2 linked regions of the Chlamydomonas reinhardtii genome follow. The protein of the gene in region 1 binds, or shares a complex with, the protein of each later gene. Links are inferred from orthologs where the notes say so. Each region holds a gene or a part of one and is shown in the gene's direction. Other genes may lie near its edges.

Evidence for each region.
Region 2: CHLRE_16g687500v5 (region 1) and CHLRE_09g397950v5 share a complex: the UniProt entries of both Arabidopsis thaliana proteins name them as parts of the arp2/3 complex. The link is inferred for Chlamydomonas reinhardtii from reciprocal best matches to the Arabidopsis thaliana genes ARP2 and ARPC3.

Annotation. Positions count from the first base shown.
Region 1 is NC_057019.1:4,639,777-4,644,106, forward strand, and holds the start of CHLRE_16g687500v5 (uncharacterized protein), read left to right. Parts: upstream 1-1,453; 5' UTR 1,454-1,534; coding exon 1,535-1,585; intron 1,586-1,843; coding exon 1,844-1,957; intron 1,958-2,600; coding exon 2,601-2,686; intron 2,687-2,975; coding exon 2,976-3,115; intron 3,116-3,391; coding exon 3,392-3,453; intron 3,454-3,789; coding exon 3,790-3,876; intron 3,877-4,252; coding exon 4,253-4,330. Other genes in the region: CHLRE_16g687550v5 (uncharacterized protein), read right to left, coding at 176-934. UniProt on the Arabidopsis thaliana protein: Functions as ATP-binding component of the Arp2/3 complex which is involved in regulation of actin polymerization and together with an activating nucleation-promoting factor (NPF) mediates the formation of branched actin networks.
Region 2 is NC_057012.1:1,519,517-1,523,744, reverse strand, and holds CHLRE_09g397950v5 (uncharacterized protein), read left to right. Parts: upstream 1-1,286; 5' UTR 1,287-1,320; coding exon 1,321-1,543; intron 1,544-1,954; coding exon 1,955-2,101; intron 2,102-2,360; coding exon 2,361-2,557; 3' UTR 2,558-3,482; downstream 3,483-4,228. Other genes in the region: CHLRE_09g397900v5 (uncharacterized protein), read right to left, coding at 94-256, 429-596. UniProt on the Arabidopsis thaliana protein: Functions as a component of the Arp2/3 complex which is involved in regulation of actin polymerization and together with an activating nucleation-promoting factor (NPF) mediates the formation of branched actin networks.

The DNA of each region.
Region 1 (4,330 bases):
CTATTACGCGCGTGTCGTGCCGCGCCCATCCGCAGATCCATGCCTGAAGCGGCGAACCCCGCCCAAAAATGTATGTTGCGCGCCGGTACCTGCGCCACGCCGCCATATGCACCGTGCCAGCTACCCAAGCGCGGGGCCCTTCGTGGTTCTGCCCCTACCGGCTTCGTCGGCGTACCTGGAGTAGGTCCTCTCCGAGGAAATGTCGCTCTGGGAACTGAAACACCAGCCCCACTTGCTGCATCCGCTCCTCCATGGTCAGGCCCCCAGGCCCCCCCGCCGCAGCCGCTGCCGGAGCGTGCGCGCCGCTGCCGTTCCCGTTCCCGCCCGCGTAGCCGTTGGTCGGCGGCAGCGCGACGCCGCCCGCCGCCCCGCCGCGCAGCACCCGCACCTGCCCCGACGTCTGCTCCGACAGGCCCGCAAGCACCTGCAGCAGCGTGGTCTTGCCGCTGCCGCTCCGCCCCATGACCAGCCCCAGGCTGTTGGCTGGCAGCGTCATGCGGATGTCCTGAAGCAGCGGCTGCTCTGCGCCCGGCGGGTGAAATGTGAGCCCCTCCACGCGCACCTCGGCGCCCGGTGCCGCTCCGCCGGCGCCCGCCGCTTGCTGCTGCTGCTGCATCTGCACCGCGTAAGCCATGAGCATGCCCATCACTGAGTTGGGGTCACCAAACGCCGTTCCGGCGCCGCTAGCGGGCCCCCCTGCCCCGGAGCGGCACAGCGGCGCCCGCCTGGCGCCATGGCCGTGGCGGCCAGGGCTGGAGGTCGCAAGGTGGCTGGCGGAGTCAGGAGATTGTGTCCGTAACGGCACTGCTGTGCCCTGACGGCGTCCGCTGCGCACGACCGGCGGCCAGGCGCGGACTGACGAGGGGCCGGGGCCAGCGCCGGCCCAGGAAGCCGCCGGTGCGCCCGACCGGGCCCTAAAGCTGGATTTCTGCATGGTATTAGCTAATGGCCTCGAACGCTTGTCGAGGCCGCCTGCTTAGCGCAGGCGCTGCGTGTAGGCGGCTGAATCACTTCTTGCCGCTAGTCGCGGCCGCGAGTAGTTTCAATTGCAGCTCCGTGTTCTGCTCAGATGCTGCCTTGGTGGTCTGAAAGTACTGGGTGTTCTTCTTCAGCACAAGCTTGGCTGACTTCTTCGCCTGGGCCTCCTTCTGTAGCTCCTTGACCTTCTTCTTCAATGCAGACGCGCGCTTCTTCTCTGCCTTCTTCTCCTTGACTGCTAGGGCCTTCTGGCCGTCCTTTGACTGTTCGGCGATGAATGCAGAGAGCTGTTTGCGGACCAGCTTAGAAGACATGGTCGTCACAGGAGCATCATACAGGGGCAGTGGATGTAAAACACTCAAGTATGCAGTAGAGGGGCAATGAAACTGCTGCAATGTCCAACTCGGGTTCACGGCATGGAGCACTGCGCCCCCCCATGTCATAAAATTTGCTTCTTAAATTTTCTAAGGACATAGATATACGAGACAAGATGAGCACGCCACGGCGAAGAGCGCGTTGGTAGTGTTACCCTCATTTCGCAACACCGCACAACAAAATGGGCGACTTCCAACGCGAGCGCGTGGTGGTGTGTGATAACGGCACCGGCGTGAGTTTGGAGGTCCACGTGTGGATCGGTGGGGCGGCACGGTTCCCGCGCTTTCCCGCCTGGCGGGTGCTGCAGTAGGCACGCTCGTTGCGCCGGCTCCGGAGACCAGTTCCAAACCACGCGCGCGCGTTAAGTTTGGTCACATCTGGGTAGCAGTGTACATCAGCATGGGGAACGTGTGGCTTCCTGCAACCCACGAAATGCGAACTGGTGACCTCCTGCATCACGACACGCTCCTTGTTTGCCTGTTGTCCGCAGCTCGTAAAATGCGGTTTCGCCGGCGACAGCTTCCCACGGGCGGTGTTCCCGTGCCTCGTGGGGAGACCCAGCTTCAAGTACAATGACCCCTTCTCCCAGCACCAGCAACTGAAGGTTTGTCCGTGGGGGCTGCAACCACCACCCGGCTTTCTCAGGAGCCCTGTCCAGAGCCGTGGGGGCAGTGGGGCAGCCCCTTCGCCCCACCGTGCCAGGCTGCGGGACCGCTGGGTGCAAGCGACCAGGAGGCTGAGGATAGAGGGCGGGGAAGTGCCGGAGGCATGGCGCGTGGTGCGGCCAACCGTGACAGGCATTTCCGGGCACGCGCCCGCTCCCGGGATCAAGCGCTGCGTGCGGTACCCTAGTGTTTGCCGTCCTTGCTACGGTAGCGGTCGGCATACGGCTGTGGCTTGGAAGACCGGGTGGAAATTGTAGATACCAGCCCAAACTGAACCGCACCCAATGCAGTAGAGCGAGGACCGGGGGGCCGGGACTGGCCGGCAGTAGCAGGGCCATACCACGGACCGCGCCTGATGGCCCTGGCGTTCCGCGCCCCCGGCGGATCTATTTCGTTGGGCTCTGGCATGTACCCCACCCCCAGTGCGCGCACGCAATGCACGTGCATAAGGCGGTGTTAGAGCGTCGCCCCCGGTGCTTGTGCGACACCGCCCACACTGCCGCCCACTGCCGCCCACACTGCCGCCCACACACTGCCCACACACTGCCGCCCACACACTGCCGCCCACACTGCCGCCCACAGGACATCTACGTGGGCTCCGAGGCCTCCGGCAACAAGGACCAGCTGGAGCTGTCCTACCCCATGCGCAACGGCGTCGTGCAGTCATGGTGCGGCCGGGGGCCGGGGGCCGGGGGCCGGGGTAGCGGCTGGACAGCTGGCCTGTGGGGGCGGGGCGAGGCTGGATCCAGGAGTGTGGTGACATGCGCTGCGGCAAGCGCTGCTGGGGCTGTTGCAACAGCGCAACAAGCGCAGCGTGTGGGGGTAGGTCCTGTCCAGCCGCCATTGCTCACAGGCTCAGGTGCCCACCCACGGCCATGTCCTGGCCACTCCTTCAATCACTCCGTTCCCCATGAACGGCCATCGCCCTCCCCTCGCCCCCCATCGCTGCGCCGCCAGGGAGGAGATGGGTTTGATCTGGGACCACGCCTTCGGGCCGCAGCAGCTGGCCGTGGACCCGGCCGAGTGCCGCATCCTGCTCACAGACCCGGCCATGAACCCCACCGCCAACCGGCAGCAGATGCTGGAGGTCATGTTCGGTGGGTGGCGGTGGTGGCCGGCGTGTCCCTGTGTGGGGGGCAGGGGAGATGGGGGGCTGTAGGCAACGACGTGCCGCCAAGTTGCCTGCCGAAACCGGAAGCGTACGGCAGTGCGAATTGGGGCGGGGAGGGGGTGCGCGGGCTGCTCTGGCCCGGAGGAGACACAGGTGCGCAGACGCAGCCCGCACAGTGGAGCTGCGAGGCCCATGACTTGTGCTGGAAAACACGAGGAATGGGAAACTCACCATGACTTGTGTGTGGTATGTGGCCGCGCAGAGACGTACGGCTTCGCGGGCGCCAACATGCAGATCCAGGCGGTGCTCACGCTGTACGCCCAGGTGTGTGTGCCCGGGTGTGTGTCCGGGTGTGTGTCCGGGTGTGTGTCCGGGTGTGTGTGCCCGGGTGTGTGTCCGGGTGTGTGTCAGGGTGTGTATCCGAGTGTGTGTCCGGGTGTGTGTCCGGGTGTGTGTCCGGGTGTGTGTCCGGGTGTGTGTCCGGGTGTGTGTCCGGGTGTGTGTCCGGGTGTGTTAGAGAGCACAAAGGAAGGGAACACACAGGACTGTGTGTGCGATGCGGTGCGACGCTTAACGGTGTTAGCGTTCGCGTCCTTTCCTGCACCGACCTGCCGAGCCGTTTTCACCGTACCTGCTCTCACATCAGCCACATGTCCACAGGGCCTGCTGACGGGGCTGGTGGTGGACAGCGGTGACGGCGTGTCGCACGCGGTGGCGGTGGTGGACGGATACGCCTTCCCGCACCAGGTGTGTGTGTGTGTGGGGGGGGGGGGTTAGATACCAGCCCGAACTAAACCGAACCGAATGCAGAAGAGCGAGGAGGAGAGCGTGGCCTATGCTTGAGGGGCGGGGGGCAGTGGTTCAGGGATGGCCACGGAAGGCAAGGGGTGGGCTGTGTCGTGAGTTCGTGGGCGGGAGAAAAGGGTGTCGATGGGGCGGCGAACTGGCGATGGACCTGGTTGGGTGCGGAGCTGCAGACGGACAATGCCCAACAGCAAACCGCCATCGAGTGGCACCCAGCCTTAGCACCTTCCCCGGTTGCCCTCTTAACCCAATCCGCATGGCTGCCCGGCTGCCCGGCTGCACACACGACCTGCCCGACTGCCCGGCTGCCCGGCCGCAGACCAAGCGCCTCAACATCGCCGGGCGCCACGTGACCGCCTACATGCTGGAGCTGCTGCAGCGCCGCGGCTACTCCCTC
Region 2 (4,228 bases), on another chromosome or scaffold:
CAGCAGCACATCACTGTCCACCGCCCCTGAGCTCCAGCCAGCATTTCTATGCCACAGCTGCGCCCCTGGTGCTCCCCCTGATGCCTAACTCACTTGGGTAGCTGCGCTGCTCCGACAAGAACATGTACATGTCCACCAGCTGGCCCTTGGGGAACACCGGGTACAGGTAGCCTGACAGGTCGGCGGCGCCGCCCGCGCCCGCACCGGCCGCGGCGGGGCTGCCCGCGCCGCCGGCAGGCGGCGGTGTCTTCTGGCCCTGTGGTATGGTGGAATGGCAAGTTGGTCCTCCGCTAAGCGCAGACGGCAGCAGACGGGCCAGGCAACAGCACAACCACGCGCGCGCTGGACAGCATAAGACTTGAGCCGCGCTGGAGGCTGCCGAGCCCCACAGCGCGCGGGCTCCCACCAGCCGCCCCGGCTTCGCCCACCTTCATCATGTTCATGAAGTACCACATGACGCCCATGCGCACCACCATGCCCAGCAGCTGCCCGAAGCCGCCCTGCTGGCGCTGCTGGCCCGGCTGCCCGCCCTCCGCCCCAGCTCCCGCAGCGCCAGCGGCGCCTGCCGCGGCTGCGGCGGCAACCTCTCCGGGCATTGCGCTCCGGTGCTTAGCCTGCGAGGGGCGGCACGCCGGAGTCAGCCGTGGAGCACAGATCGCGTTGAGGGGGTGCGTGCCTTACGTGTGAAGACGGCGCTCGCTATGTTTAGACCTCTCTAACACCCATTCTGCCGACGCCCCGACCTTTGCGTCTGCGACGCCTCAGCTATAGCTAAACCCTTGCGGCTGGGGCGCCGGGACAAAGGTCCGTAAGATTGCGGAGATGATCCCCGCGCAGTTGAAGGTCGCAGGCCCGGAAATGCCTCCCGGCTTGCTCTGTCTAGCCCAGGCCATCCATCTATGTCTGGTAAACGCATACAATTCATAAGTTCACCTTGTGTGTGGCCGAGGGCTTCACGCGGCGGCTGATGAACTGACCGTGAGCTCCTGTGGCCAAATTCTGTTGCTATGTTAAGTATGCAGGAACGGTAAGGCCGTAAACTACTTAATTTTCGGCGTCTCAGCGGTCAAGCACCAAAAACAAACAAAAATCACTCTCGAACGCCCTGAAAGCAGACCCGAAATGCGGTTTAGTAATCCAGAACTGAGCTACGTCTGGTCTACGGAGCAAAGTGCCACCTTAGCAGCAGGCACAAACATGGCAACGAAAATTGGCGCCATCGGGCGATCGGGCTCGGAACTCGATTCCTCGTCCCGCTCTCAGGAGTGCCCATGCGTCTACACCGTCAAACTATTGCGCACAGTTGAACACTATCCTATCATGGCTTATCATAGTCACTACAACAGCGACACGGGTTTCAAGCTGTGCTGTGGTATTCCGCTCGTTCCGCTTAACCCCGCCGGCTCAGAGTCTAGCTTTGATCCAGTAGAAGAAGCAATTGAGCTGTTCAGGCCAAATTCCCTGTTTAAAAACTTTGAGTTCCGGGGACCTGGCGATAAGCTGCTGGTGTACCTGATTATCTTCATCAATAGCTGCTTGCGGCGTAAGTGGAGAGAGGGTGCAGAGGGCTCAGTCAGAGGCGGCACGGGTTGAGGGGGAGGGTGCGGCGGGTCCGAGGCTGCGTGTGTGCAGATTTCAGGGTGCCAGTTTAGGGTTGCGCCGTGGGCGTTTAGCGGGGGCATGCGGTCAACAACATGCCGAGGAGAGTGCTGCAGGGCTCACGGCAGCTTGCCTGCTCCCGCAAGACTGCAAATGCTTTGTAGCTGTGGGCGTGGGCTTGCGCCGCGTGTGACCGGTCTCCCACGGACACGGATGTGCATGCCTGCGCCACATGCATCCCCCTACCCCGCTCACACACACACACATACACACACATAAGCCACGCACATAGGTATCCGTAAGTGACTCCGGCGTTTGGGCGGGTCTCATTTCCGTTTCGTTGTCCAACACATAGGCCTCGCCGAGCGCAAGCCGGGGCCGCCACGGGAGGAGGCGCGCCAGCTGCTGTACGCGCACGCACACGACCGGTTCGCGCTGCCGGGGCAGGCGGGCTTCCCTCTCAGCGGCCTGTTCACGGCGCCGGCCAGCCGGGAGGAGGAAGGCAAGTCAGGTCGAGTGGTCGAGCAGGGGCAAGTGCAGATGTGAGTCAGCAGCGTAGACTGGCAGATGGCGATGTGCATTGGATGCGGGGTGGAGGGCTCCGCAGGCTCAAGCGGAACACCTCATTCAGCAGCGGTGCCGCCACACGGGGTCTCGCCAGCTGCGCGTCCCTTATGGCCCGGCCGCCCCGCCTTCGCCGCGCATGCCGGGGGCTTACATCCTTCCTGTGAGACAACTAACCTTTGCCTGCTGGCCTGCAGATTCCATCCGCACCTACCTGCGCCAGTGCCGGGAGGAGGTCGGCCGCCGCCTTCTAGACCGGCTCTACGGCCCAGCCGCCGCTGCGCCTGGCGGTTCGGGTGCGCCTGCCTCTGCCGCTGCTTCTTGCGCTGCTGCTACACCCAACAAGCACTGGATGGCGTTTGCCAACCGGCGCTTTTTGGACCGCACCATGTGAAATGCTTGCTGGACACACGCAGCGTGCAGACGGTCCGCAGGAGGGGGCGGCATAACGTTTTGACACGACATGTTACCGCGTACCGCCGGGGGGGGCGGCCTCACTCTGGTAGGCCGTAGCTGTGTGGGTCAGATGCAATTATGGACGTTGAGAGGCTGTAGTTCAACAGTTGCGATTGCGCAAGCAGGTGGGCAGATGGGCAGGCGTTGTCATGCAAGGGATCGGGCACGGGCAAGGGATCGGGCACGGTCGTGTGCGTGACCATGATACATCACTCCGTGCGTGAGCGGGCGGAGATGAAGGAGGTGACGTTTCAGTTCTGTCCGACAGCAGAGACGGTAGCGGATGTGCTGACGAAGGCACTGACGCCATGATTGTTCGGTGATGCCGGTAGTGCGGCATGGGGCGGTGGGTGAAACCGCAGGTACGGTGAGTGAAACCGTAGACGCAACAATGTAGGGGAGCATTCGGACACGGGGCAGTCGTGCTGTCATGATTGTCTGTGGATTTCTGGATGGACTGGAATGCGGTAGAATGCCATTATAATTTGTGCTGATGATGGACGAGGACATGGGAGCGTGATGCAACCATTTGAAATGACACAAAGTGACTAGAAGCGGAAAGCGTACGTGGTGAGATATGAGGCTAACGTGACACGTAGAATGGGTATGGAGTTCTGCCCGCGGGGGAGTGTTGACATATCGGTCAGAAGTTCAAAACTACACCAGGGAGAACGTAGGGGGTCTGAGAGTGCGTGTCGGACAAGGTATGCATGGTTCTGTTGCAATATCCTGTGGTATGGACAAAGAGGAGTGATCAGTGCAGGTTGTATCACACCAAAAGGGAAGAACTCGCATGGGAAAAGTGGGCTGCGCCCACGCCACGTCTTTAGTCTGAGGCCACAAGCGTTTACCTCATCTCCCGGACATAGGGTCGGTTCGTACAGGCACGGCCCGCCATATTGTGTCCAGCCACATCCCGCCGCCGAGCAACAGCACAGCCAGCAATGCTGCGGCCTACCACATACGGTGTCTGAAAACCCGGAACCCATGCGAGGGTATAAGCCAGAGAGCTACCCGACATAGTTGCGCAGTAAGGTTACGTATCAGTCTGCGTAGAAACCTCCCGACGCCTAAGTAACGAAGCAGCCTGACTGTTAGCCGCCCCTACTCCGGCTAGAATACAGCCGTAACAGCATACCTTATCGGAATAATCAGCCCGGGTTCACTACTGATTTGGCCTCCGTCCAAACATTGACAGTTTTTGGGCCGCAATTTCAAGGCTGCCGACCTATCCCTGCCTATCCTGACCTATCGGACGGGGAATCTACCCTTTTGGGAACCCTTCAGGAACCTTGCCACCGTGTCAGGTACCTCGTCCGACAGATTAGGTCAGGTCGGCCATTGCCGTACGGGCCTCCTTGTGCGGAGGTTTTTTAGGGTGCTTTGGGGAGGGGTGTGTGTGTGATGGGACAGGGTTCAGGCAGGTTGGCGAGGTCCCATAGGGTGCAGCTGACGCCCGTACCCCAAGCAGACAGCAAACAGTTTGCAGCGGCAGAGCAGGAGTGCATGGCTGGTCGAACGCCGGAGTTACTGTACCGACAAGTTGCTTTGGGGAGGGGGGGGGTATATGTGCTTGAGCCAAACAAAGTAGGTCCCATTAGGATAGGGC